2 linked regions of the Nothobranchius furzeri genome follow. The protein of the gene in region 1 purifies or fractionates together with the protein of each later gene. This does not show direct contact. Links are inferred from orthologs where the notes say so. Each region holds a gene or a part of one and is shown in the gene's direction. Other genes may lie near its edges. The genes, in order: klhl6 and nudcd3.

The links.
Region 2: the proteins of klhl6 (region 1) and nudcd3 purify together in Homo sapiens (affinity purification with mass spectrometry; 3 studies listed by BioGRID and IntAct, counting the BioPlex papers as one, with this or other methods). This does not show direct contact. The link is inferred for Nothobranchius furzeri from reciprocal best matches to the Homo sapiens genes KLHL6 and NUDCD3.

The regions. Positions count from the first base shown.
Region 1 is NC_091754.1:23,547,308-23,551,587, reverse strand, and holds the start of klhl6 (kelch-like protein 6), read left to right. Parts: upstream 1-1,292; 5' UTR 1,293-1,465; coding exon 1,466-1,722; intron 1,723-1,797; coding exon 1,798-1,963; intron 1,964-4,280. UniProt on the Homo sapiens protein: Involved in B-lymphocyte antigen receptor signaling and germinal center formation.
Region 2 is NC_091746.1:39,657,677-39,660,724, forward strand, and holds the end of nudcd3 (nudC domain-containing protein 3), read left to right. Parts: intron 1-509; coding exon 510-642; intron 643-722; coding exon 723-866; intron 867-946; coding exon 947-1,135; intron 1,136-1,520; coding exon 1,521-1,631; 3' UTR 1,632-2,339; downstream 2,340-3,048.

The DNA.
Region 1 (4,280 bases):
CATAACATGGATTAATTTAGATATATACAAGACATTTATCTCCACCTATGAGTGAAGTAGCATATTTTAAAATGTTGATCTTTTTTATTTGTTTTAATTGTGCAGCTACTGAAATTATAATTGCAGAATTTAAATCTGGCTAGGCTTTGAACACATCTTCGCTGAAACGCCTTTGCCAGAACCAGAAACCCACGATGCCAGACGAAACGACGCAGTGCTAAACACCAGACGCAGTTTTCTTGGTCCAAACCTCTTTTGTTGTTTATGGCTTAAAATGGTGTTTTATTTTTTGGGACTCTGGTAGCTTGTCCTAAAGTTGAAGTGGTAGCAGCCGGCTGTTTCTCCTTCTCTGATATGACTGAGCAGAGAACTTCTCACGCCAGTGGTGTTCTGCTGCTAAATACGTGAGTGTGTGATGAATGGAGGACCCAGGGTAGTTTTACAAGACTGACAACCGGATGGTCCAATAGTTGCTTTTGGTTCGAAACGTGTTATTGAGGTTTTTAGAGAGAGAACCACTTTATTCTTTTTTTGTTTTATTTTTAATCTCCACAATATATTTATAGCTATACTATGTTAGGATGTTGGTAAAAGGCATGAAAAATATTTTAACCTATTAGTTTTCTAAATTTGCTATAGCAGCTTTAAAATACAGCCAAGACTTAAAATACTAATACAAATTTTTATTCTATTTTGCACCTTTTATTTAAAATAATCTTACATAAAAATCACAAAAAAGTCATCTTACCATGACATTTTAGCAGTTTTGTGGAAAATATCATAACAAAGTGCAATGGACTACACAGTTTTAGATACAATGTCACCATTTTGATGGATAAATCCATCAAACTGACACTATTTCAGAGAACCTGAACCTTAAACCTGCTCCACACAGACACAGGCAGCCCAGCTCTGAACCGACAGGTCAAAATAACTTTAAAGAACTGAGATTTTTGCTCAAATGTTCAACATCAGGAGATCACCTAGAGGAGTAAACAGTTTGCCTCCAGCGAGTCAGCCTGCTTCTCAGCTTTGAACATAGTGAAGTTACACTTGAACAAAAGAGGTTGTTAACAACGCGAGATAAAACGCATCCATTCCGTCTGGGTTACGCTGTCAAGTGGTTGTGTTTACTGCTATCTCACTTAGCTGAGGTCTGCTGCAGGAGACATGGCATCAGCGTTTCTCAGAAAAGAGGAAAATAGTGTTAACTTAGGGGAAATTCACTCAGCACAAGAGGAGGAAGTGTTAAGAAACAAGCATTGCTTCAGTTAAGCATAGTCCTCAGAACAGGAATAGGAAGTATGACGAGGGAAAAAAACAAATCCTCATTTCAAAGCCTCAGATCTGCTGTGAGTGTGAACCACAGAGTTGTTTTCTGTCTCGGTGCCGCTGCAGGTGCGTCTGAAGCAGCGGCCTGCTTTCCTCCAGTGGAAACTAAGCTTGTGAACTAGTTTTTGTAAACATGAGTGACTCGCTGGAGAGGACAACAGACTGTCCCTTGTCGTCTCTCGGAGATGAGTCCGGTCTGAGTGAGGAGAAGGAAAATGCAACAGGCGCCGGCGAGCTTTGCTGGCAGGATGGCGGTCTACCAGTGGAGCTGCAGAGAGGGATGGAGACCATGAGAGTGAACGGAGAGCTGACCGACGTGACCCTGAGTGTTCAGGGACACGACTTCCCCTGCCACAGAGCCATTCTCGCTGCCGCCAGTCAATATTTCAGGTAAACATTCCCACTTTTTACCACTGTGTTGGAATTTATCTGCTTTTTATATTTTAATGATACATTTCCTTACAGGGCCATGTTCTGCAGCGGCCTAAGGGAAAGCCATGAGAAGCGTGTGGAGATGAAAGGGTTGGACAGCGGGACGATGCACTCTCTCTTGGAGTACACGTACACCAGCCGAGCGCTCCTCACACACTCAAACGTCCAGAAAATTCTCGAGGCCGCCAATCAGTTTCAGGTAAAACAGCCGAAAACCTCACACACGTTTACTTTGCTGAACTTTGCAGAGTTTCCTGTCTACTCTGAGCACTTTTTCCACACTAATCTTTTCTCGTTTAGCATCCAGAAAACTGAAAACGTTGTTTTAGCAAACAGTTGTGTTATTTCCAGTCAGACTGATAGAATTAAACTTATCATAATCATCCATCTGCAGCTAAATCACAAAAGTTAAACTTTTCTCATGAATTTGAATTAAACTTTTTTTATTTAATATTTTTTCACTTCACATTTATTTTTAATCTATTTAGAGGAACAAACATGCAGCGATGTGGAAGTAAATTACTCTAAGAGGGAAGTGAAAGACGGCTAGTTGTTTACACTCAGGATCAGTTTTCCATAGAGGCCTAACTTACAGCTGTGACACACAACGGACGAGTCAGGTGTTCGTCTGCTTGAGCTTCTGTTTCTGCAGAGATGTTTGTTTGTTGGATCCTGAAGATGAACAGCTGTGCTGTTTCTTAATCAACAAGAAGGAACTCAGCGTTTTATTTTAGAGCCTTTTATCTCGGTTTACACCAGCATCCAGACAACATCCCTTTGGGGAAAGTCATGAAGCTAAATTCTCAGGAGTCAGTGTTGGATCATAAACTTCACTGAATATGTGACTTAAAATATGTAAATAGAAATTATGCAAAAGTACTTCTAACTGAAGTAAAAACTTTTTAGCGTTTTCTACACTCCTCTATTTGTTTATTATTGGGACAACGCATATAAAACTAACACACATCTCCTTTTTAATATAAAAGAAAGCCCCGAGGATCTCACTAATAACTAACTAATCATTTCTTTATTCAATCAAATATTCTGAAATTTGACAACTTGGTCAATTTGAACATTTTATCAGTGATGTTTAAAACTAGAAACTGATTTTCAGGTAACACACAAGGTTTTTGTTTTAGGACCAATAGAAGTAATAAAAACAAGCATGATTTCAAAAGTACAAATGTACACACCACCTTAAAGCAAATGTGAATCTCAGCGCATGAACTATTTAGATGAGGTCATGAAAATATTCTTCATTATGAATCAATTAAAAACACTTTTTAATGATAAAATAAAAAAACATCTGTCTTTAAATAACAGCTGGATGTTGTTTACAGCTCAGTCTGTAAGTTCATTTAATGTTTACAGTAGTGATGCAACGATATGAAATTTTGATACCGATGTCCGATATTACGATCACTGCTATGGCCGATAACCGATACTGACATTAATGATTCTAAAATCAGCAGATTTTGTATAAAATGAAAATTATTAAAGCTGAATTTACGTTATGCACACACACCACACACATTTACAGTCCTGAGATGATTTCATTCACTGTTCACATGACTAAACAATTACACATCACCCCCCTCGCCCTCTGAAGCAGGCAAACAAATGGAGATGAGATGGATAAAATATCTGTTAACATCAGCCAGGTTTTATTTATTGGACCAATACCGATATGTTAAAAAATGACCAACATCGACCGATACCGATATTGATGCCGATTTACATTTTCCATGCATAGTTTACAGTCATGAAATTGAGTCTGAACACGATTTTTCTTCCTCTTTTTCACTTAACAGTTAAAACTAATTCCTCAAAAATTAAATAAAGCCACTCAATATCTACTGATATAAATGTAAACTCCTAATAATGCAGCTTCTTTTTCATCTTCACAGAAAAGTAAATCTCTGCTGAATGTAACTTGTTGAGCTTTTCATGTCATGTTCTGGTTTAGTTTCCTGACCCAGGACATTCAGAACCATACGTGGAGACTGGATGAAAGTAATAAACAATATTTATTAGAAAAAGGGTAACTGAAGGAGCGCTGTCAAGGTAAGGCGGGGGTCCGAGTGAGGTGGAAGTGTGGAGGTTGATCGGGGATTAGTGGAAGACGAGGAGGGTGGTCAGGCCTGAGTTGAGGGTCGAGCTCGAGAGGGGAATCCAGATGAGCGAGGGTGAGTGCAGGGTGAGTAGCTGAGAGCGGGTCGGTCAGGTTGAGCGGGGAGATGTGGTCCAGTGAGATGATCCGTGGTTTATGGCTGACAAAGTGGTGATGACGAGGATATCTGAAGAAAAGGAACAGGAATTCCATCTTTCAGTTCTTTTTAAAACACAGAAAAAGCTTTGAAGAAGAAGAAGAAAGTATCATTTCTATAACGCCTCTCAAGATAAAAATCACGAGGCACTTCACAAAAACAAAAAATGTAAAAATATAAAAGCATTTAGAAAATGTTTAAAACTATATTTAAAATGAGCAAAAATAGACAATTGTGATTAAAAAAATG
Region 2 (3,048 bases), on another chromosome or scaffold:
TTCATCACCCTCTCCTTGTTCTGTTCTTTATTCCGCCTTTCCCGGGATCCATTGATTTCTCTCTTTCCTAACATTTTTTGTTCTTTTCTCCTTTTAAACAGATTTAAAAAAATTTTTTAAATATTTTTATACTTCAATTTTTTGTTTTTGTGAGGTGCCTTGGTATTTTTATCTTGAGAAGCACTATATAAAAGATCATCTCCTTCTAAATTCAGGCTGACAAAAATAACTCCTATTTAAGATTAATGACAGTAATATTGGATCATTTATTGTTTCTATCTTTGCTCGCAGAAATTTAAAACAGCATGATCTGGAACTTTGATTGATTCATGAAGTATTTTCTTCGGTGTGTTTTACACAGTTTACTTAAAATGCATAAACTATAGTTAAAATCATCTTTGTAGTTATAAAACAGGCAAAAAAGTGTCGGATGCAGTAAAAAAAAAAAGAAGAAGAATGTTTTAAGTTTATTTCAGCTTTGATTCCTAGCACGTACAACTATGTTTCAGGAGTAAGAAGACGTCTCAGCTGGACTCCGACAGCTACAATGGAGCGGTGAGAGAAAACTACAGCTGGTCTCAGGACTACACGGACGTGGAGGTCAGAGTGTTTGTGCCCAAAGCGGTAGTGAAGGGCAAACAGGTGAGCGTGGAGTGTTCCACCTCCAGAGCTCCTCCCATTGTCTGTCTGCTGACTGCAGGTGTGTCTCTCTCCTTCCTCAGGTCAGTGTGAGTCTGCAGAGCGGTAGTGTGAGAGTGTGTGTGAGGGACGGGGCAGAGGAGAGGACATTGATGGAGGGAGAATTCACTCACAAGATCAACACTGAAAACTCTCTGTGGAGTCTGGAGCCAGGGAGCTGTGTGCTGGTGAGTCCCCTAGCTGTCATTCAGATTAATACAAAGAGATTTTATAAATACAACACAGATATGATGCTTCTGACTTGCAGCTGTCACTCAACAAGACCTCTGAGGTTTGGTGGAACGCTGTTCTGAAAGGAGAGAAGGAGATTGACATCAACCAGATTAACCGGGAGCGCACGATGGCTTCGGTGGATGAGGAAGAGCACGCCGTTCTGGACAGACTCACATTTGACTACCACCAGAAGCTGCAGGGAAAACCTCAGAGTCATGAAATGGTGAGGAACCAGTTCATCATGTAAACACACACATTCATCTGGTTAAGCATCTTTTATGTTGTTATCTTTCTACTTCTCTTTATGGTTTGCTGCCACTACTCTGGTGGTCTTGTTTTCTGTAGCCATTATCGCCCCCTGCTGGCCACACAGACCTCTGGAGACACACTTTAAACCAGTCACTTGTCATTGAAAATTACAAAACAAACAAACAAACACTTTAACATCGAATTTGATATAAAATATACTGTGGAAATGCAACACTCAGGTAAAATAACCCAGGTGATGTTAAACAAACCTAAAGAAGGACTGCTTTAGTCTGGGGAAACACGCTTGTTTGTAATGTTTGGTGCATATTTCACCCAGTTGTTTTCATGTTTGTTCACAGAAAGTGCATGAGATGCTGAGGAAGGGCTGGGATGCTGAAGGCTCTCCTTTCAAAGGGCAGGAGTTTGACCCGTCCATGTTTGACATCCCGCCCAGTGCGGTGCAGTTCTGAGTCGCAGCTCAAATTCAGCCTGAGGGGAACTGACCCGAGGTTATTTCTGGAACACGGCGCTGGAAAGTCCACGTTTATCTGGGACGGTGCAACTTTAGGTTCGTGGGTTAGGAAGTCTGGGAGGGAGGCTCCGTGATGTCACACACAGATTTGGTGTTCTTAACGAATCAACGTGCTTCTTCACTGTTTACTCTTTATTTAAGCACTCTGCTGTGTTTTGGAGTTAGATTTGTTCTTTATTTGTGTTCATGATCATTCAAATGTTTAGTTCTGTCCAGTTTATAGAAAAAAAACAACCAAAGTTACTGAAATTCACCAAAACTACATCTGAACGTTAGTCTAAGTAAACAGTGGCTGCAGAGAAAACGGACCCGTGCATCAGAGGGAAGCAGTCTCAGCTGCTGTTTGTGTGGATGACATTTTCTTTTTATTTCATGTTAGACACAAACCCTGTTCAACTATTTAAACCTCTTTTTTTACTTTGTTATTGATGCTGATACAAAAGCAGTTAGATGAAATTTACTACTGGACTTTTGACTCTGGGGAAACGAGATTCTGTTAGACGATAAAAGTGATTTATTGTCATGCTGATGATGAAGAGTCTTTGTATCATGTTTTCTAGAGTCTGAACAAAACCTGCTCTATCAAAACGAGTGTTTGACCATGATGTGATGCCTTCTGAGACGAGAATAAAGACTCATCCTGTCACATCCACTCTCACTACATCATACTAAAACCCAGATTTTAACATGTTTTAATCTTATGAACCACAGAATAATAAATAGTCATCCTGTGCTGCGATGGTGGCATTTTAAAGACCAGTGAGTTTAAATTTGTTAGTGATTAATAAAGCCACGAATCAATAGATCATACACTTTTCTTTAGTAAAGGTGCGTGCAACTTCCATATGTTTATAGCCCCAGAGTTTTTTTAAAGGCAGTAAAAATCAAATTTGTTTTTCTAACCTAATGAGGTTATTGTAAGGATCATGTGGAATGAACAACATGGCTTAATGTTGGGTAGTCTAGAGTTATGATAAATGGCCAGTATTTGTATAGCACCTTCTTAGGATTCTACAACCCCCCAAGGTGCTTTACAATACAATAAGTCATTCACACGCTAGTGGTGATGAGCTATGATGTTGCCACGGATGGATGCCCTTGGTGCACTGACAAAGACGAGGCCTGCCGAATGCTGGCGCCACTGCCGGTCCCTCCGACCACCACCTGCAGGCAAGGTGGGTTAAGTGTCTTGCCCAAGGACACAACAGCAGAATTCTCTGGTTGGAGCCGGGATTGAACCTGCAACCTTCTTATTACTGGACAACCCAGTCTACCTCCTGAGCTTTAGGAGGCTCTGGGCAAGCAGGCGGGGTACACCCAGCACAGTTTGCCAGTCAATTGTTTACTTCCATTTC